Alligator mississippiensis: one gene and its partner. The protein of the gene in region 1 binds, or shares a complex with, the protein of each later gene. Links are inferred from orthologs where the notes say so. Each region holds a gene or a part of one and is shown on either strand. Other genes may lie near its edges. The genes, in order: CFB and CFP.

What was found.
Region 2: the proteins of CFB (region 1) and CFP are in contact, whole or in part, in a crystal structure (PDB 7NOZ), measured with the Homo sapiens proteins. The link is inferred for Alligator mississippiensis from reciprocal best matches to the Homo sapiens genes CFB and CFP. Residues at the interface, in NP_001701.2 of Homo sapiens: Glu54, Gln56, Ser78, Thr316, Tyr317, Leu349, Ser351, Met394; in NP_001138724.1 of Homo sapiens: Arg329, Arg330, Asn331, Lys333, Pro341, Met420, Val421.

Annotation. Positions count from the first base shown.
Region 1 is NC_081834.1:62,563,459-62,574,313, reverse strand, and holds the start of CFB (complement factor B), read left to right. Parts: upstream 1-6,219; 5' UTR 6,220-6,479; coding exon 6,480-6,543; intron 6,544-7,325; coding exon 7,326-7,541; intron 7,542-8,253; coding exon 8,254-8,439; intron 8,440-8,858; coding exon 8,859-9,032; intron 9,033-9,644; coding exon 9,645-9,740; intron 9,741-9,974; coding exon 9,975-10,111; intron 10,112-10,263; coding exon 10,264-10,402; intron 10,403-10,828; coding exon 10,829-10,855. Other genes in the region: complement C2, read left to right, coding at 1,539-1,679, 1,779-1,870, 2,193-2,304, 3,239-3,386, 3,567-3,643, 3,880-3,971, 4,400-4,538, 4,780-4,829 and 1 more.
Region 2 is NC_081831.1:27,690,721-27,701,622, forward strand, and holds the start of CFP (properdin), read left to right. Parts: upstream 1-5,608; 5' UTR 5,609-5,720; coding exon 5,721-5,793; intron 5,794-6,339; coding exon 6,340-6,484; intron 6,485-7,230; coding exon 7,231-7,394; intron 7,395-8,784; coding exon 8,785-8,958; intron 8,959-9,121; coding exon 9,122-9,319; intron 9,320-9,606; coding exon 9,607-9,780; intron 9,781-10,208; coding exon 10,209-10,406; intron 10,407-10,664; coding exon 10,665-10,776; intron 10,777-10,902. UniProt on the Homo sapiens protein: A positive regulator of the alternate pathway (AP) of complement. It binds to and stabilizes the C3- and C5-convertase enzyme complexes. Inhibits CFI-CFH mediated degradation of Complement C3 beta chain (C3b).

The DNA of each region.
Region 1 (10,855 bases):
CTTCTGACTCTGGGAATCTACCCACTGCTTTTCCAGCCAGTCTCAGCCAGTCCTTGGAACCCCAGTGCCTGGTCAACGCCTGGGCACCGAGTTCCTTGTGTTGCAGGTTCTAGGTGCCCCAACCCTGATTCTAGGTGCCTCCACTGTGGTTCTAGAGGCCTTTGCTGTGGTTCTAGGTGCATCCACACATATGCAGGGGTTGTGCTAGTCTTGGGGCCCCCAGTCCCTGTACAGGGCCCGGGAGCTGAGCTCTTTGCACTACAGGTTCTAGGTGCCCCAACACTGGTTCCAGGTGCCTAAAGACTAGCTCTGGATGTCTTGACCATGGTTCTAGATGCATCCACACAGGCTCTAGGTGCTCCAATCCCCATTCTAGGTGCCTCAACACTAGTTCTGGGTCCTTTGACCACAGTTCTAGGTGCATCCACACAGGTTCCAGGTGCCCTAATTGAAGTTTTAGGTGCTTCAGTTGCTGTTCTAGATGCCCCAGCAATGGTTTTACATGCTCTAGCCCCAGCCCTAGATATGCTGGCACTAATTCTGGGCGCCTTGACCATGCTTGTAGGTTCATTCACATTCTAGGCACCCCAATCCCATTCTAAGCACCCCAATCCCAGTTTTGGTTGCCCCCAACTGCAGTCCTAAATACTGCAATGCTAGTTTTGGGTGCCTTGAATGTAACTCTAGGTGCACTCACACAGATTTTAGGTGCCCCAGTTGCTGTTGTAGTTGCTCCAACCGCAATCCTAGATACTTAGATATTAGTTCTGGGTGCCTTGACCATGCTTCTAGATGAAGTAACTCAGGTGCTTCATCCACTGTTCTTGGTGGCCCAATACTGGTCCTTGATACCTTGACACTTGTTATGGGTGCCTTGACTGCTGTTTTAAATGCCCCCAATCCCAGTCCTAGGTGCCCCATCCTTGGTAAGGTGCCCCAACCCCAGCTCCAGATACCACAACACTAATTAGGTATGTCTTAACTGTGATTATAGATGCTCCAATCCTAGTTCAAGGGGGCCCCAACCCCAGGTCTAAGTGTTTCAACCCTAATTCTGGACACCTTGACTGTGGTTTTAAGTACATCGACACCAGTTCTACGTGCCCCAACACCCATTCTAGGTGCCCAAATCCTGGGTCTAAGTACCACAACCACTTCCAGGTGCCCCAGCCCAATTCTACGTCTACCAATCCTGGTTCTAGGTGTGCTAAATGCCTCAACATGAGTTCAGTGTGCATTGACCATGGTTCTGGGTGCCCCCAATCCCAGTTCTAGGTACCTCAATGCTGGTTCCTACCACCTTGACTGTGGTTTTAGGTACATCCACACCAGTTCTAGCTGCCCCAACCCCATTGTAGGTGCCCCAAACCTTGTTCTAGGTGCCACAACCCCAGTCCCAGGTGCCCCACTGCCTACCCCAAGCTTCAGCAAGTTCCCAAATGCCCCCATGCCATGGAACCCACCTTTCCCAACATCCCTTCCCATGGTGCCTGGGCCTAGTGGGGCCTAGGTGCACCAACACCTGCCCTGTCTCTCAGACATCTATGCCTTTGGAGTGGGGCAGACGGATGTGGAGTGGGAAGACCTCAACGCCATTGCCTCCAAGAAGATTGGGGAGCAACATGCCTTCAAGCTCAATGGCCCTGTGGAGCTCCGCACTACCCTGGACAGCATCTTGGGTATAGAACTGCCCCCCCTGGGGGGCAGATCCCAGATCCCCTTCTCCTCCTGGGGCTGAGGAGAGGGGTCGGAGCTGACCCCACCCCCTCTCTCTCCAGATGTGAAGAGCATCGGGGAGGTGTGTGGACTCGGGAACCACTCAGAGGGTGCCACAGCCCAGCAGATGAACCCCTGGCACGTGGTCATTAGGGTAAGGGGGACCCCGGATGCCTGGGTTCCCTATGTCCTACCCCCCGCCCCCTGAAGGCTTCAGATGGGCCCCAGCCTGGATGTCTGGGTTCCCTACCCTGTCCCAGGTCCTCCTACCTACCCAGAGGCAGTGCTGTTCAGACACCTGGGTCCCCTACCCCATCCCAGAGCCCCCACCTACCTAAGGGCTGGCCAGTGCCACCCGGATTCCTGGGTCTCACACCCAGTGCTCCCTGGGCACCTGGGTTCTCCAGGAAGTGGGGGACAGGCCCTGGACACCAGGGTCCCCACGGTGGTTGACCTGGACCCCCTGGACCCTGCAGCCAGAACGGGGGGAGTCATGCCGGGGGTCACTGGTGGCCGACCGCTGGGTGCTGACAGCTGCGCACTGCTTCAACAATGTGCAGAACACCAAGCTCTGGAGGGTCAACATAGGTAAGGGACCCAGGCATCTGGGAGCCTCCCAACTCTCTCCCTCCCCACAGTCTCCACTCCCCACCCAGGGAACCCAAGTGTCCAGTAGGAGTGGGAAAAAAGGTCCCCTGGAACCCCCCCGGATCAGGATCAGGCCCCACCACAGTGACAATCAGGCCACCACAGGTCAGGATCAGGGACCATCATGGGTCAGGATCAGGCCGGGGAGCCTGGGGGAGTGGGCGCTGGACACCCAGTTCAATCTTGTCTTGGGGGTGGGGGGCAGATGCTGACTCATGATGGGCCTGATCCTGGTGGGGTGCAATCCTGACCTGTGGGAGGATAGGACCCTTGCAGGAGGTTGGGGATGGGGAGGGAGGCAATTCTGGACTGTGAAGTGGCCCAATTCTGACCTGGAGAGGGCCCAATCCTAGCTGGGGCCCCATCCTGGCTGGGAAGTCCCAATTCTGACTGGGGGGTGGGCTGATCCTGCCTGTGAGGCCCTGATCCTGACTTGGGGGTCCTGGCTGTAGGGGAGCCTGATCCTGACCCATGATGGGCCCTGATTCTGACCTGGGGACCCCATCCTGGCTGTGTTGGGGTCCAATTCTGACAGGGAGGCCCCAGTCCTGGATGTGGGGGGCCCAATCCTGACCTGCGGGGGCCCAACTTTGACTGTTGGGAGGAGCCCAATCCTGACCCACGACAGTCCCCGATCCTGGCTGTGGGGTCCAATCTTGACCAGAGAGCCTGATCCTGGCTGCAAGAGGCCCAACCCTGACCTGTGGGGGCCCGATCCTGGCTGTTGGGGAGGGGGTTCCCAATCCTGACCCATGATGGGTCCTGATCCTGACCTGTGGGGGCCTGATTTTGGCGGAGGGGGCCCAATACTGATCCATGATGGGCCCCAATCCTGGCCGGGGTGGGCTCAATCCTGACCTGGGGGCCGCGACAGGTTCCAAGGATATCCAAATTGCGCAGCGCTTCGACCACCCGCAGTACAACGTCCGGGCCAAGGTGGACCAAGGCATCCCTGAGTTCTATGACTATGACCTCTCCCTGCTGCAGCTGGAGAGACCCGTGCACTTTTCCGCCACCATCAGGTGTGGGGGGCATATGAAGGGGTGGGGCTTAGAGAATGGGGTTTGGACATAGAGTGTGGGCGGGGCATAGAAAGTGAGGGGTGGGGCTTAGTGCAGGGCATAGAGGTAAGGGTTGGCTTAGAGACTGTGGGTGTGGCTTGAAGATGGGGCATGGCCATAAGTATGAGCCCCACCCCCCAGGCCGATCTGCCTGCCCTGCACCAAGGAGGCGAACCGAGCCCTGAGGAAACCAGTGAGGGCGACCTGCAAGGACCACGGTGGGTGCAGAGAACCCAGGCGTCCAGGCGCCCACCCCGCTGCTTCCAGACCCCATCCCCATCCCGGGCATCCAGGCTCCCAAGCTCCTTCCACTCCTATCCCCCAGCCCCAACCCTGTGCAGAGAACCCAGGTGTCCGGGCTCTCCTGGGCATCCCCATGTCTCACCTCTGGCATGGGGTGGGGGTCCGTCGCGGGGTCCTGACATTTCCATCTCTCCGTCCGTCCATCCGGCAGAGGTAGAACTGCTGAGGCAGGCACGGGTCCCGGCCCAGTTCATCTCTCTGGACAATGAGCGCCTGAGCGTGCACATCAAGACCAATGAGATGGTGAGCGACCCAGGCATCTGGGAGGGGAGGGACCTAGGTGTCTTGAGCGGGAGCAGTTCCAGCATCTGGGTGGGGTGGGACCCAGGCACCCAGGCTCCTACAGCTCCCTCGCTAGAGTGAACCCTGGTGTCCGGGTGGGTGGCAACTCTGGTGTCCAGGCAGGTTGAAACTGAGGCATCAGAGCAAGGGGAGAACCCAAGCATCCGGGCTCTCACAGCCCCCTTGCTGGAGGGAACCCAGGCAGCCGGGTCAGGGGAAACCCAGGCATCTGGGAACCCTGGCGTCCAGGCAGGTGGGGGAAACCCAGGCATCTGGGCTCCCACAGCCCCTTTGATGGAGGGGAACCTCAGTATCTGGGCAAAGGGGACTTAGGTGTGCAGGCAGAAGGGCACTCTGGCACACGGGTGCTCACCCCTGTCCCCCCACAGTGGGCACGCTGCACAGAGGGAGCAGTGCAGCCAGGGACGCTATATGCAGGCAAGGCAAACGTATCGGATGTGGTCACGCAGCGCTTTCTCTGCTCCGGCCCTGAGAGCACCGGCGAGCCTGAGGCCTCCACCTGCAAGGGTCAGCAGGGCATGCTAGGAAGAGGCGGGGCAGGGGGAAGGGAGGAACATACTGGGAAGCGGAGCAGGGCATGGGCCAGAATGAGGCATGCTGGGAAGGTGGGAGTCCCTGAGCAAGGCATGCTGGGATAGTGGCACCAGTGGGGGTGGGGCTGGGGGGGAGGGCACTAGGCCCTGCCCCCTGGCCCATAGGGGCAGGGCCTCTTGGCCCCCCCCCAGGCCTCAATTTCCCCTCCCCGCAGGTGAGTCCGGCGGGTCCTTGTTCGTGGAGAAGAAGATGAGGTATTTCCAGGTGGGTGCAGCCCCCGCACTGGCCCGGACTCCTGGGTCCCCTGGGCGGGGAGGGGGAGAGGTCAATGCCTGGGTCCCTCACCCTGCCCCCGCCTGGTCCTGCAGGTGGGCGTGGTCAGCTGGGGCACCTACAACCCGTGTGCCCAGAGTCGCCCTGACAACCAGGGGCGGATGCAGAGGAAGCCACCGCCCCACAGGCACCATCCCCGCGACTTCTACCTCAGCCTCTTCCAGACCCAGGATTGGCTGCGGGAGCACCTCAGCCCCGCCCTCCACTTCCTGCCCCCGGCCTGACCCCTCGCCCCTGACCTCCACCATCCCAGCATGCCCCGGGGAATGGCCCCCATCGCTGCCATCCCAGCATGGCCTGCTGAGAAGACTTCCCGCTGCCCAGCATGCCCCGGAGTGGGTGCCCCCCATCAACGCCATCCCAGAGACTCCCAGCATATTGTGCTGTAGAGACCCCTGACATCCCTTCATGGGCCAGGGCACGGGCCCCCACTGCCACCATCCCAGCATGCCCTGCTGTAGAGACCCCCAACATCCCAGCATGCCCTAGAGTGTGGGGCCCTCACCCCTGACATCCCAGAATGCCTTGCTCCAGACACAGCCGTGGCCTGGCCAGCATATCTCTCCCCAAAATCCCAGGGCCCGACCCAGCATCCTGTGCTCTGCTCCAATGGCCCACAGTCCTTTGCGCTCAGTCCCTTCCCAGCATCCCGTGCTGCTGATGGAACAATAAAGTCCTGGTGTCAAGACAGAACTTCATTGTGGTTGTTGGCCTGTGCTCATGCTGCGAGCTTTTCCCTGACAGTGCCCTGAGGCTGCTAGCTTCCTGTAACAGTGCCCTGAGGCTTTGAGCTTCCCCCGACAGGTGCCCCGAGGCAGCGAGCTTCCCTGTAACAGTACCCCGAGGCAGTGAGCTTCCCTGTAACAGTGCCTTGAGGTGGTGAACTTCCCTTCGCAACAGTGCCCCAAGGTGGGGAGCTTTTCCCTGACAGTGGCCTAAGGCTATTCACTTCCCCCCGACAGTGTCCTGAGGTGGCGAGCTTCCCTCTGGCAGTGCCCTGAGGCAGGGACCTTGTCCCTGATAGTGCCCCTAGGCAGCGAGCTTCCCCCTGACAGTGCCCCAGGTGCAGGGTTTACGACCTCCACCAGACAAACACAGTCTGAACTTCAGACCCCGTGGGCTGCGTGTCAGGGGGAGGGTTCTTTGGCAGGGGGTCTGGGTCCTGGGCAGGGTGCCTGGACACCTGGGTTCGCTCCACACCCTGTTCCAGGGAATGCAGGTGTTGGCCGGGGCAACAGGGAAGTAGCAACCAATGGAGGGGTTGCGGGGGGGTTGGGCCGCACCCTTTGCCTCCCCCCTGTCTCTTCTTCCCAGAACTCACCTGCTTCCCCCCCTCCCTGGGGTGACCCTCCCCTCTGTCCCGATGCCTGGGTTCTCTCTGCATCCCCCCCGCCCCTTCCTCTGCAAGATCCCCTCCCCACACCCTGCGGGGAATCCCCCCTGTCCTCCCCAGAGCTATTTCCCAGAAGGGGGGGTGACGCAAGAGCAGGGCTGCCCCCCCTCCAGGCTTCCCTCCCCAGCCCCAACCCAGCCGGACAGACGAGAGAGCTGCGGAGGAAGAGGACGGACAAACGGACAGACATGGGCCCGAGGGCACTGATCCGGATCTTGGCCTGCCTCCTGCTCCTGGTCCCGGCTGGCTCCGGTGGGTGGCCCCCACCTGCCTCACAGATCGGGCTGGATCGGGACCTCTCCCTACCCCCAACCTTGCCATGGGCTTCCCTGGGTGCTGGGCATGCGACCAATGCTGGGGTGGGTGGAGAGGGCCAAGTGGAACAACCCCCCCCCCACACACACACACTCACAACCCTCAGGATCAGGCCTGGATTGGGACCCTCAGTAGGGTCTGGATCCTTCCACCCCCACCCCGACAATGTCCTTCCTGGGCCTCACAATGCGACCAGGTCTGGGGTGGGGCAAAAGCCAAGTGGAACAATGCCTCCCCCAAGCCACAGGATCAGGCCCCCCAGCCCTCATGCTCAGGATCAGGCCCAGATTAGGCTTAGATTGAGACCTTCAGCCCCCTCCCAGGATCCTGCCTCCAGGATCAGACCCACATCGGGACCCCTACCCCCTAGGACTGGACCCAGATTGGGACCCCTAGCCCTCCCCAGGGTTGGGACCCACTACCCCCAGGATCAGACCCATATCGGGGCCCCCAGACCTTCACAATCAGGCCTGGATCAGCACCCCCAGCCCCTCTCAGGATTGTTCCTGCCTGTCCCTAGGATCAGGACCCCCTCAGCGCCTCCCCCAGAATCAGGCCCTCTGCCTCAGGATCAGGCCATATGAGGACCCCCTGCCCCCCCGGACCAGGCCCCCTGCCCCCAGGATCGGGGCCCCTAACCAGCAGGTGGCCTAGGATCGAGTTCCCACCAACCCTCCAGGATCAGGCCCACATGACCCTGGCCATGCTGTGTCCCCCAGGGGCGGCAGTTGCAGCGGAGGGCAGCTGCGACCCGGAGGGGGCCCCGATCCTGGGGGGCCAGGCGGAGGTGGCAGATAGGGGCCGATGGCTGCGCTACATATGCCCAGAGGGGAAGTACCCGCACCCCGTAGCCCTGCGCGCCTGCCGCAGCAACGGCATGTGGAGCCCTCTACGGGACACCCAGAACCGGGTTGTGGCCAAGGCTGAGTGCCGAGGTGGGTCTGGGTGGGACCTGGAGGCAGGGCTGGGGTGATTTGGTGGGGTGGAGTCTGTCTTGGGGGGTCTGAGGTCACCAGTGGGGCTGAAGAGGTCACTGAGAGGAGCTGGGAAGTCCTTAGGGATTTAGGGGGAGTCTCAGGGGGTCATTGGGATGGTCTGGCGGGGTTAGAGTCACCAGGGAGAGCTGCGGGGACTGGAGGAGGCAGAGAGGTTTTGTGGGAATTGGGGAGAGTCTGGGTTTCCTGAGAGGGTCTGGGGGATTTTGGAGGGTCTCAGGGGGTCTGGAGTCACTGGGAGGGCTGGAGGGGTTGGGGGGGCTCTGAGGGTGTCACTGGGAGGAGCTGGGGGTCCTCAGGGATTTAGGTGGGTTTAAGGGGGGGGCTGAGATCAGCAAGGGGGGATCCTGGGGGATTTTAGGGGAGTTTCAGGGGGTGCTGTGGGGGATTTGAGGAGGGTCTAAGGGTGTCTGGGGGGAGTCTCTGGGATCACTGGGGAGGCTGGGGGCATTGGGAAGGGTCTGTCGGGGGGAGACTGGAGGACGGGGATGCAGGGCCAGCCAGAAAGACTGGGGGGTCGGGAGGATCTCAGGGGTGTGGGGGTCCTGTGGAGGGGCTGGGGGGTCCTGAGGTTGAAGGGACCCTGCAGAGAGGCTGGGCGGGGTCCTGGGGGGATCAGGAGTCCCAGCTGCCCCTAACCCCTGCCTCACAGTGGTTCGGTGCCCGGGACCGGTGGAGTTCCTGCATGGCACGTGGTGGCCACGCCAGGCCTGGTACAACATGAGCCAGGAGCTGACCTTCTCCTGCTTTGACGGCTTCACCCTGAGTGGCTCTGGTGTCCGCACCTGCCTGCCCCAGGGCACCTGGAGCGGCACCCCTGCCGTCTGTGATGATGGCGGTGAGTCGGGGGGGTGGGGGGATGGGGCAGGGGCACCTGCCAGCCCAGACAGACACCCTGCCTTGCACAAGCAGGCACTGGCCGTAGCCACACGGACCAGCAGACACCAGGCCACAGACAGACAGATGGATGGACAGACCCCAGCCCTAGACAGACAGACGGATAGATAGCCCCAGTCAGACAGACAGAAGGACAGATGGACCTTGGCCCCAGACAGTGGTCCCAGGCAGGCAGACAGCCAGCCACGAGTCCCAGACAAATGGGAAGACATCCACCCTGGATGGACAGACAGACCCTGGCGCCAGAGGAACAGACATGGCGGGCGGGGCGTGAACAGATGGAGAGCTGGGTGGGAGGCCAGGGGGGAAACTGGATGCACCTCTGACCCTTGACCTCTGACCTGTGCCCTGTCCCCCCAGGGGGCCACTGTCCAGCGCTGGGGGTTCCAGTGGGGGCCACTGTATCGGGCGGGGGCTTGCGGGCTGAGGACGAGGTGCAGTACCGGTGCCGGTCTGGCCTGACCCTACTTGGCTCCGCACATCGCACCTGCCTAGAGGACCGCACCTGGAGTGGGACACCCCCCCTCTGCCGCAGTGAGTGCTGGGGGGCTGGGAGGGGCTAGAGGGGTTCTGGGGGTCACCAGAGGGGAGGTTGAGGGGGTCTTGGGGGATTTGGGGAGGGTCTAAGGGGGTCTTGGGGAGACTGGGGGGTGATAGGATCACCAGGAGGATCTGGGGGGACCCCAGTGGATTTGGGGAGGGTCTGTGGGGTCTTAAGGGGGCTGGGGGGTTTGGGGGAGAATCTGAGGTCACAGAGGGTCTGGGGGACTTTGAGGGACCTCAGGGGGTTTTGGGGAGTCTGGGGTCACTGTGGGGGCTGGGAGCATTCAGTGGTGGGGTCTGAGGTCACTGGGGGGTGGTCCTGGAGGGGCTGGGGTGAATGGGGGGGTGTGAGCACTCAGGTGATCTGGGGAGGCACTGGAGGGGTCTTGGGGGGGCCTAGAGAGACCCTGAGTCCCTGGGGAGGCAGGGGGTCTCCTCTGCCACCATCAACACCTGGGGGGGTGAGGGGACCCCCCCTTTGGCACTGTACCTGGGGTGGGCTGGGAGATCTCCCCAAAGGCAGGAGGCCGGGGGGGATCCCAGAGGTGGGGGCAGGGCTGGGAGGGGCCATGCTGACTACCCCCCTCACACTGTGACCCCTAGCGCCGTACGCCTATGACACACCCCGTGACGTGGCTGCCGCCTTCCTGGCCTCCCTGTCCGAGACCGTGGAGAAGGCCGAGGCCAACACCTCCCTCAGTCAGTTTGGGGGAGAAGGGACTGGTTTGGGGGGGCAGGGCTGGAGGGAGGGGGGTAATTTTAAGGGTGTAGGGGGTGAGGGAGGGCCAGGGGTGGTTGGGGGCAGGGCTGCATTGTGGGGGGTGGGGTCAGGATAGCGGGGAACCACGGGTCTCTAGGAAGGGTCTGGGTGCCAGGCTGAGGCTCTCCAGGTTTGTGGGGGGTAGCCACCTGCCTTCTGACCCTTGACTGCAGGTGACAGCCAGAAGCGGCGCATCCGCATTGAGCCAGGTGGCACCATGAACATTTACCTGCTGCTCGATGCCTCTGACAGCATCGGCACCGACAACTTCACCCGCTCCCGCGACGCTCTCAGCCAGCTTGTCGAGAAGGTGGGCCCCCCTGACTTGCTGGGAGCACCCCAGGATCCCCCAAATATGTCCTCCCCTTCCACCCATGGCACCTCAAAGCCATGCTGTGCCTCCCCCAACCCAGTATCTGCCCTTCCCCCACCACTGCCCTCCCTGATGCCATGCCCCCCCAGGTCTCCAGCTACGGGGTGTTCCCACACTACAGCCTCATCACCTTTGCCAGCGAGCCCCACGTGGTTATCAGCACCCAGGACGCCCGCAGTGCCGATGCTAACTGGGTGCGTGAGCAGCTTGAGGGCCTCAAATACAAGGGTGAGCAGGGGTGTGGAAATCCCAGGCTGGCATGGGGGAGAGGGGCAGAGGCAGGGCAGAGACGGGAGCAGGAGCTGGGGCTGGAGGGAGTAGTGGTGCAAGAACCAGGGCTGGGGCAGGGACAAGAGCTGAGGATGGAAGGGGGTGGGGTGCAAGAGCTGGGGTCAAAAAGGGGCTGGGGGACAAGACTGGAAAAAAGGGAAGACCATAGAGCAGCCAGGAGAAGAGAGACCAGAGTGTCCCTAGTGCCTACACCTCTGTGTGGTGCTATGGGGCCACCTGAAGGTGGAGGGTGGGACTGCACCCAGCCAGATCTGCCCCCTGGCCCCTCCCACCCCCTGTTCCTGCCCCACTCAGCCCCCAGGGGAGACAGAGAGGGGGTCTGTGACCACCCAGGCGAGGCCCTGACCCCTTATTGCCCCCCAGACCATGCGTACAAGGCAGGCACCAACA
Region 2 (10,902 bases), on another chromosome or scaffold:
GTCCCCTGCCTGCGGTTTAGGGCAATGCTTTCTGTCACCACAGAAATGGCAAATGAGGAAGTCCTGCCCTCACAAAAGAGGAAGTCTTGCCTTTTCTCCTTCCCCCTTACAGCCTCCCAGGATTGCCCTGAGACTGCAAGATTTATAATACATGAGGATTAGTGGGGAAGAATTTGCCTTGGCTGACTTTCACAACTCTTGGGTAGGTGTCATTCAGGCTTTTCTTTTCCTCCGGCAGACATGCTGAGACTTTCTTCACAGCTCTCACCAGACCAGGAGCTCCTTCTGCCTTTCCAGCAATGGTCAGGGATGCGGCTAACCAAAGCATCAGCCTTTTTCCAGCCTCTCTGGGAATCGCTTTCACCACCTTCACATGGCTCTTGGGATGTCTTTTGGTCCCCACTACTTGTCCTCAGGCTCTTTGCTGGGTGCCTGTGCCAGCTGCGAATCTGCCTCCGATGCCTTTAGCTTCCCTTTTCAATATGCTATGTTTTCTCATTTTGAAGAGAAACTTCCCGCTATCTCTCCTTTTCTCACTCCAAGTTGCTTGATCTTTTCCCTTTCACTTAGAAGGCACCTGGGCCCTTTATGGGGACAGGCTTTGACTTCAATTTCTTTTGCTTTCTCTTGAGGTCAGTAATCCCAGCATTTCTTTTTTCTGGTCTTGCTGCTTTCCCCCTCTTTCTTCTGTCCCACTACTTTTTCTTCTCCATTTTAAGGAGGAAAATCTCCTTGCTTTGAAAGCCTCCGTCCCCTCCTGGCACCGTGGCCCTGCCGGCTTCAGGACCCCACACCTGTCTTGGGTAGAGTGGAGAGATTGTAATCTGTGTTCTCAGCCCAGAGTCACCCGGGGTGCACGTGTGTTGCTCTGTCACCCTTTCGCGGTCTCCTTTCTGTGCTAGACCTGTCCTGGGAAAGGGCTGGAAACCCTTTATTTATTGCTGCCTGTTCCCAGAGTCCTTTTTATTGTGGGGTGGGGGTCCTTGAAGACCCAGCCCCTTAGGCAGCTGCTGGCTGCCTGACTTTTTTGGGCTTTTATATGATATAATATCCATCTATTTTTTAACAAGGGGGGTGGAGCTTAGCCCGGATTAACCCAGCCACTGGCTGGGGGTGTCTTACCCCAGGGTAAGTTGGGGGGAGCAGAGAAAGGTATTTTTCAGTCATAAGAAACTTTGCACTGCCCCATGGGGGCTTTGTTTCTTCTTTTCTGATGCATCAAGCACTTTGGGGGGGGGGGGTTCATATGTGTTCCCAAGGGTCACATGTGTGCCCAAGAGTCACAAGGAGAAATGGAGGGGCAGGGTGGGGGGGGATACATGCGTGGTGCTGGGCTGAGACAGTCCAGGGCGTGCACCATGGGTAAGGCATGGGAGGGGAGCTTTCTCCCTGCATGGGAACTATGTGTCAGCTGCGGACAGGGCATGGTAAAGTGCATCTGACCCGTGGGTGATGGACATGTAAGCTGGGGGGGGAGGGGGACTGCATGGCCCACCCATGTGAGGTGCGGGTAAGATCTGTGTAGCAATCATGGACATGATACGTGTGAGTAAAATACATTTGAGCCTACCTGCTTTGTCAACTGTGAGGAAAACATGAGGCAGACATGTGAGGGGTAAGGAAAATGTTTGTGAAGTGGGGGTATCACATGTGTGAGCCATATATAAGTTGTGGGTACAATGCATGTGAATCATGGGTAAAACACACGCAAACTGTGTTGTAAAACACACATGATCTGTGTATACACTATGGGCAAAATGTATATCAATTGGGAAACATGTCAAACACATGTGAGGGATGGGTGACGCACACACCTGAGCTGTGTGTCAACTGTAGGCATGAAGCTTGAGTAAGATGTGTAAATTGTGTGTGAGCCGTGAGGCCATGTATACATGTAAGCCATGTATAAACTGTGGGTTAAACCCATGTCCATTGTGGGTTTAACATGTAAGCCATGGTTAAACCATGGGGAATGTGTGTGATTTGTGAGGAAAACGTGTCAAACACGCGTGAGCTGTGTGTAACACATGGGTTCAACACATGGGTTGTGGTTAAAACCCATGTCAGTTGTGGGTATGACATGGAAGCCATGAATAAACCATGGGTTAACGTGTGTGTCATGAGTTGAACATGAAGCCATGTGGAAAGCTTGGGTCAAACGCATGTAAGCTGGAAGGTGAATGCATGTTGCCACGTGTTAAAAAGACCCTTCCTCAGACAACTGCAACAAATTCTGAAGCACATGGAAGCCATGAGCAAATATGCCAAGCCATGGGGATATCATGTGTTCTCTGGGAGGAGAACACACTTGGAGCCCAGCTGAAGAACACATGGAGCCCATGTGTGGGCATGAGAAACATGTCACTTCTCTGTGGAGCACACATGTGAACAGTGAGCAGAAACCACATGGGGAACAGTGAGTAAAGAAAGGCATGTAATGTATATACAACCAGGTCACGCCACACACACTACATGGAAACGATTTGCCAGAAACGTGTAGAAACCATGCAGAACCCAGGAGGGTGAAGCACGTGGTGAATAATGAGTAGCATACATGGAACGTGTACAGAATGGATCAAAACATGACAGACAACCCATGGAAACCATGAGGTAAAACGTGTGATACAGAGCATTGCATGCGTCATGAAGCAGAAGACCTGTAACATACATGTGAAATGTGTCATATCCACTTAACCAGGTGTGTGACCCAGGCACAGGGCCTAGTTCGGTTTCCATTGCCATGACAACAGACTAGGCTGCAGCTCCAACCTAGTGGATTTGTGGGCATGGGTGGGGGGAGGGGCTGAAGGGTATCAATGCAGCTGCGGGGGGGCAGTAGGTCTGGGGGGCAATCAGTGGCAACATTGGAACAGAGCCAGGGAGGGGGGCACAGTCAGTCAACACTGCCACCAGGTTGCTAGGGAGGAATCTGTTGTTGCCATGAACACCATGGATGGGCCATTTGCTATGGTGGGCTCCATGCTTGCTACAAAGAGGCTGTTACTGTGGAGACTGGTGGGGCTACATGGTTGCCAGGGAGGAGGATGGGGTTGCCAGGGGGAATTCCATGGTTGCCCCAGAGAAGGTTGATATTGCTAGGGAGAATTCCAAGGGGTTGCTAGCAGGATATGGCTGCTATGCAGCCCGGGGGGGGGAGTTGGGGGGTAGACGCACGAAATTCTGCTGTTAACCGGCATGACGTGATTGTCATGGGATCCCATGGCTGCTGGGGAGGATATAGTTCCTCCGCCCCTGCCCAACCCTCCCTCCAGCTAGCTCTAGGGCTCCTCCCCTTCCTCCCTCTCCCGGCTCCAGATATGGGCAGCTGAACCCAGGCATCCATCTAGGGGCAGCTTTTTCTACTCTTCCCAAGGGCCTAAGGGGAACCTAGAGCAGGGTGCACTGGGTGCCCATACTCCTGGGTTTTCTGGGAGGGGAGTTGGGGGCTGTGGGGTATGGGAACAGGGCTCTGGGAGCCCAGAGACCTGGGTTATATTGTCTGCAGCGCAGCTGCTGAGGAAGGACCCTGTGTGGGGAACCTTTAAGGGGATGAAATCTGATGCCTCCATTTAGGGGAGGAGCGAGTCAATGACATTGTAGGCCTCAAAGTAATATCATAGGGCCTGGGAATGGGAAACCCCCAACCTGGAATCTTACAGCTGGGGGTAGCCCTGGGATGGGGCCCTGGTGGGGGCTGTCAGTTGGAAGTGAGGGGCACCACAGGAAGTGGGGGGTGCAGGTCAGGAGTGAGGGTCACAGTGGAGTTATGAGGGGTCTGCAGGTCCAGAGTGAGGGGCACCACAGAGTTGGGAGGAGGGGTTGTAGGTCAGGAGTGAGGGGCACTGCAGGGCTGGGGGTCAAACACAAAGGACAGTAGGAGGGGATGTGGGTCAGACGTGAGGGGTACTGGGGGGGCTGCAAGTCAAGATTGAGGGGAATGGGGGGGGCTTCAGGACTGGAGTAAGGGACAGTACAGAGTTGAGAGCAGGGCTCCGTGGGACTATGGGGGCAGGCTTCGGGTCAGGCATGAGGGGCTGCATGGGATTTTGGGAGGGCTGTGGGTTGGGAGTGAGGGGCACTGGAGGGGGGCCTGTGGGTCATGATTGAGTCATAATTTACCCCCCATTCACTGTTCCCTTTTCATGGGGGGGCAGTGAATCTCATGCTGGGAGAGGGCAGGGGGTCCCCTAGAACACCAGGGTCCTCAGGGCCTTTGAACATAGATTTGAGACCCCCTCCACCCCCTCCAAGAAGTGCCCATGTCACTAGGTGGCAGGCCCCACACCATTTAACCCCCCTGGCCTGGGGGTCAGTGAGGAACTCCCCTGGGCCTTGCCCCCACCCCATCTCAGCCACAGGAACCCTATCCCCCCAGCCAGATTTGGGCCCAGCTGGTCTGGTACTAGGCTGAACTCAAGCCTGGTCCTGGTGCCATGACAACTCAAGCCTGATGCCCCTGCCATTGCTCCTGTTCAAGGGAGGCACAGCCCAGTCAGACCAGTTGGGGTCCTCTCAGCTTGGCCTAGTCAGACCAGTTTGGCTCCCAGTCCAACCCAGTCTGACCAGTTCAGCCCCCAGCAACCCCCCCTCCCCCACCCAGGTCAGATTTGGGTCTGAGTGGGGACACTAAACTAGACTGAACTTGGACCTGGTCCTGTTGCTATGGAAACTCAAATCTGTTGCACCTAATATTGCTCCCATTGTGGGGAGAAAGGGAGGCAGGGCACAGTCCAGTCAGGCCAGTTTGGCCCACTCCCAACTTGGCCCAGTCACATCAGTTTGGACCCTAGCCTGGCCCAGTCACATCAGTTCACCCTCCCTCACCCACCCACTTGGCGCCTCTCAGCCTGGCCCAGTCAGACCCGTTCACCCACTTCCCCACCCCCGCTTTGGCTGCTGGCACCACAAGATCAAGTTTCTTTTCCTTGGAAGTCACCAACTTCCTCATTTCTGCACCCACCCTCCCCCTCTTGCCCCCACAGTTCCTGTCCCCCTTCCCTTCCCCCCCTCCCAGCTCTTTCTTTCCTCCTTGGGACCACCAGGGGCCTCGCCCTTCCAAGAAAATCATCCCTGCTTCCCTCTCCTTCCTGGGCCTGGCAGGGACAGACATGGGGCTGCCCTGAAACCAACCCCACACCACCCCCTATCCAGCCTGGGCACTGGGACTAGCAAAACTGGATCTGTGGTGCCCCTCACTCCTGACCTGCAGCTCCTCTCCATGGTGCTTCGCACTCCCAACCTACAGCCCCTTCCACAGGCCTACAGTGACCCTTACCCCTGACCCACAAGCCTCATTCCCCCGCTTAATTGTGCCCCTCACTCCTGACCTGCTGCCTTCTCTGTGGTGCCCCTCACTCTTGAGGCACAGCCCCCACTCCACAATGGTGCTTCACTCCCAACCTATAGCACCCACCCTGCAATACCCCTTACTCCCAACCTGCAGCTTCCCCTTGTGGTGCCCCTCACCTGCAGCCCACCCATCACCCCATGGTGCCTCTTACCCCCGCCCTCCCCGTCACCCCATGCTGCCCTTCACTGTTGCCCTTCATGCTCGACCAACAGTTTCCCACATCATGCTGAGTCAGGCTCTTGGCGACGTCCTGGGTGGGGCGGGGCTGGTGCACATTGCCCTTCTCCTCCTCCCCTGACCAGCTCAGAGGCTGTCTTGGGAGTTGTCTGTGTAGCTGCAGCGTTGGCCTGTTGTCTGTCCATCTGGGTCCATGGATGGTCCATGGACCATGCCCCTGCTCCTGACAGCCGCCTGCTTGGCCTGGGGCCTGCTGCCCCCAGCAGGTACCTGCCTGGTTCCTGGGTTCTTTGTTTCTGTGTCTCCCAGATGCCTGGGTTTTGTGTGTGTGTCCCTCCAGACACCTAGGTTCTGTGTTCTCTGGACACCTGGGTTCTCTGTGCCTGTGTCCACCTGGACTCTGGGGTTCTTTGTATCCCTTCAACTTCTGGGTTCTCTGTCTCTCTGTCCCCTGAAGCCTGGCTTCTCTGTGTCTATGTCGTCCGTCCGTCCCCCCGTCCCCCCCCCCCCACCTTGGTTCTCAGGGAGTCTGTTAACCACCCTCCCACCTTCACCCATCCCCAGACACCTGGGTTCTCTGCATGCCTGTGCCCTACCCGAGATGCCTGGGTTTTCAGTGTGCTCACAGCCCACCTGGAGGCTTGGTTTTCCTGTATGTCCACTACCCCCCAGACACCTGGGTTCCCTGCATGTCAGTGGCCCACCTGGACACCTGGGTTTCCCATGTGCCTCCCCACTCTGCCCCCCCCCCCCCCAGGGAACCTGGGTCCCATGCCTCTCTCTCTTCACCCCCGCCAACTGTGTTCCCTCAGGTGCACAGATCGGGCGGTGCTATGTAGACTTTGCGGATGGTGCCTGCCGAGACCTACTGGGCGAGGGGGTGGCTGAGGTCGACTGCTGCCTCAACCCACACTTTGGCTACCGGACCCAGCCTGACGCACCCTGCCAGGCCTGCGGGTTAGTGACCCCTCCCCTGCCAGGAACCCTCACCACCAGAGCTTTGAGGGGGTCCTTTGTTGGGACTCCACAAAGGACCCCCTCACCCCTGAGACCCCCAAAAGCTACCTTGAGACCCCAAGAGACCTCTGGTCCTGGACCCCCCTGAGAGATACCCCTGACCCCAGAGCCCCCTCCCCCCCCGGTATTCCCCCTGAGGCCCCCTACAGAACCCATCCTTGAGGGCCCCCCCACGTAAGTCTCCCAGCCCCAGAGCCCTCAAGACTCCCCCCTGAGGGAACCCAATCCCCAAGTTCCCTCCAAAGTGACCCTCACAGGATCCCCCCATACAGGACCCCCAGATCCCCCCTTGGAGTCCCCCCTGGACTCCCACAAGATGCTTTTCTGAGAGACCCCCATCCCTATGCCTCCCCCTGAGCCCCATGCCCTTGAGAACCCCCACAGCTCCTCCTATGTTACACCCTGAGGGACCCCCCCAGGACACCAGAAACACCCCACACAGAGCCATCCCTGTGGCCCTAGACCCTCCCAGAGCCCTTTCCAGCCTGGAACCCCCTGAGGGATCTCCCCAACCCCCCCAGGGGCCCTTGATCCCCCATGAGATCCTTCCCCCAAGACACCCCACCCAGAGCTTGCCCCACCCTGTGCTCCCCCCCCCGAAGGGCCTCCACCCCTTTGAGACCCCAGGGGGAGGCCCCCTGTCCTGAGGGCCCTAAACCCCCCTGAGGGGAGTGTGGTGCCCGCAGGCCAGCTGTGTGGGGGGCCTGGTCACCATGGGGTGCCTGCTCAGTATCATGTGGGGAAGGGGCCCAACGCCGCCAGCGCATGTGCCAAGGCCGGGAGGGCTGTGCCAGAGGGCTGCGGCGCCAGCGTGAGGTCCAGGCCTGCACCCCCAGCCCCTGCTGCCCTGGTGAGTTTCTGCATCCCACATGGTACCCCCTATATCACCCCGTACTTTCACTCCCTGTAGAACCTCTATAGCCCCCGCCACCTGCACCCCCTGTAACACTCCCCTACCTTCACACCTATAGCACCACGTAACACCCCATAGTATCCCCTCTCATTATAGCACTCCTACAGCACCCCCCTACCTGCACCCCTTATAGCTCCCCCCTACTTACACCCCTGTAGCACCCCCTGTAAGTCTCTGTAACACCCCCTATAGCACCCTCTGTACCACACCCTGTAGCACCCCTATAGCACCCCACATACCTGCACACCCTAGAGCACCCCCAGCCCCTGCTGCCCCAGGAATTCTGTGCACCTAGCATGGCACTCCCAACCCTGGCACCCCATATAGCACCTCTCCAGTAACTGCTGCCCCGGTAACTGTATACACCCCATATAGGACCTCCCCATAGCACCCCTACAGCCCCCCCCTTGCTGCCCCTAAATCACTGGGGAGTGGGGCAGAGGGAGTGGAAGTGGGTGTCTGGGCAGGGAGTGGCTGGGAGGGTCTTAGAGGGCTGAGGGGTCCATGGGGAGTCTCAGGGCTGAGGGCATCTGTGGAGGTGGAGGGGGCCAGTCAGGGGCTGTGTCTCAGGGCTTTGCAAGACTGTGGGAGAACATGGGGGGGGGGGCTGTGGGGGTCCATGGGAGTGGGTGGGGGTCCAGGGCAGTCTCAGGGCTAGGATGTGGTGAGGGAGTCTGGGGAGGGTCATCCCGGAGATTGTCATGGCTGTGGAGTAGGGGAGACCATGGCAGGATTGGGGCTGTGGGAGGTCCATGGGGGGGCCTCAGGGCTTGGAGCAGGGGCCATAGGGGATCTGGGAACATTTTTGAGGGGGATGTTTGGAGGTGGGAGGGAGTGTGGGAGGAGGCCCATGGGAATGGGGAGGGGCCATAGGGGGCCCTGTGGGAGGGTCTCAGGGCTGGGGGGGGGTCTGTGGGGGTGGTGTCGTGGTGGGAGGGGCTGGGACATCTGCAGGGGTGGGGGACTGTGGGGGGCACTAGGGGGAGTTTGGGAGGGGTTGGGGTGTCCTTGTGGGTTGTCTGGGGGGTGGGAGAGTCTTAAAGGTGTAAGGGGGTGGGAGGTTGGAGGGATCTATGAAGGTGGTCACTGGGGATGGAGGGCCATGGGGAGGGTCCATAGTGTGGGGGGTAATGGGGGTCTGGTGGGGGGGTTCAAAGCTGGGAGAGGGTGGGGGTTTCTGTGGGGTCAGGGTATCTGTGTAGGGTCTGTTGGGGGCTTTTGTGGGGGTCTCAGGGCTGGGAGGGTCTGGGGGATCTATGGGGATGGGCGCCTTGTGAGGGTGGTCTCAGGGGTCTGTGCACCAGCGCTGACCCCCAGTCATGGGCAGTGGTGGGGGGTTGGTCACCATGGTCGCCATGGGGCCCCTGCTCGGTGACGTGTGAGAGTGGGGAGCAGCGCCGCACCCGGACCTGTACGGAGCCCCCACCAGCCTGTGGCGGCGTCTGCCCTCCTGGGTCATCCAGCGAGAGCCGCCCCTGCCGTGACCCCCGGCCCTGCCCCAGTGAGTGACCTTTGTGCTGGGAGCTGGGGATAGAGGGATAGATGGGGGATTGGAGGGATGGATAGACCTATGAATGGATGGATGGGGGGATGTGTTGGGGGCTGGGACCAGGTTTGGGGCATGTGGGGCTGCCCCCTCTCCCCTGACCTCTCTTACCCCCCAGCACATGGATCATGGGGCCCCTGGGGGCCGTGGGGCCCCTGTTCCACCACGTGTGCCCCTGACGGCCCTGGCCCACGGCCCAGTCAGCACCGCCAGCGCCTGTGCAACAGCCCTGCACCCTCCCAGGACCCCCCTGGCCAGGCCTGCCCTGGCCCCAGCACCCAGGACCAGTCCTGCACCAACCTGCCCTTCTGCCCAGGTATGGTGCCCCCAGCTCAGGGCAATTACTGAATAGAACACTACTGGGGGAGGCTGGAAGTTGACCAGCTCTGAGGTGGAATGGCGAAGTGTAACTACCCAGGCAGGGCTGAGATGCAGCCAGCTCTGAGGTGGAAGAGTCAGGGAATGGCTGAGTATAATGCTGCATGGGGAGGCCTGGGAGGTGCCCAGCTCTGAGGTACAACAGTCATATATAACAGCCCGCAGAGAGGCCAGGATGCAGCAGACTCTGGGTGGGGGCAGCATGTGATGCCTATGTCTCCACAGTGGATGGTGCGTGGGGTGCATGGACAGCAGCTGCCCCATGCCCCGTGACCTGCGGGCTGGGGAAGGTGACACAACGCCGGGCATGTGACAGCCCTGCACCCCAGCATGGCGGGACCCCTTGCTCTGGCCCCAATACACAGACAAACATCTGCAACACACACCAGCCCTGTCCAGGTACCACATGTGGGCTGGTCCATACGTGAGCCTGAGAGACCCGGTGTGTATGTTCCCTGGATGTCTGGGTTCTACATATGTGCATGAGAGACCCAGACACCTTGGTCGTGTGTGAGACTGGGACAACTGGGCTGTGTGCGCGCGCCCTGGATATGTGGATTTCCTGTGGGTGTTCCTTAAATGCCTGGGGGAAGGGAAGGAACCTGGACACCTGGGTTCTGTATTGGGGGGGGCACCAAATTAACTCCTCAGGTGCTGAATGTGGGGCTGCCCTTACTGAACACCCATTGGGCCCACAGCAGAGGGTGGGGGTATGTGTGTGGGGAAGCCCCCTCTGCCCCCATTAACTCCTCACTGCCTGCCCAGAGGGGCAATGGGGGGGTCCCTCCCCCCCACCCCAGCCCCCATTAACCCTATGCCACCTGCAGTGGATGGGCACTGGTCAGAATGGTCAGCTTGGACACGGTGCTCCCGCCCGGGCTTCACAAGCCGCATCAACTGCCAGGAGATCATAGGGCAGCAGAAGCGCACTCGAGTGTGCGAGGGGCGTGCACACAATGGGCAGCGCTGCCCGGGCTCCACTACCCAGGAGATCCGCTTCTGCTACAATATGCAGCTCTGCAGCTGTGAGCTGGGAGTGGGGACGAGGCCTGAACCCAGGGTCGATGGTCCCAGGGAGGAACTGGGCCTGAGGCTCGGGGAGATGGGCCTGGTGGGGCAGGAGGCTTGAAGCCAGCGTGGGGAGCTAGGGGTTGGGGCAGGAGATGGGTCTGGGGGCAGCAGGACTGAGGCCGGGATAGATGGGCCCAGAGTGGGGTGGGCTTGAGGCTGGGGGAGATGGGGCCGGGTACCTCGGCCCACGCTAACCCCGCCCTCCTCCCCAGTGCCGGGGGCCTGGTCCGACTGGAGCCCCTGGGGGCTCTGTCTCCCGCCCTGCGGCCCCTCCCCCACCCGCACCCGCCTGCGCCAGTGTCTTCCCGTCCTGCCCAAGTACCCGTGAGTGTGGGGTGAAGCCAGGGGGCGGGGCTGCACACCGGGGTGTGGCCTGAGGTGGAGGCGGAGCCGGAAGTGGGAGGGAGGGGGTCTAAAAGGGGTGGGGCCTGAGGTGGGAGGCGAGGTCTA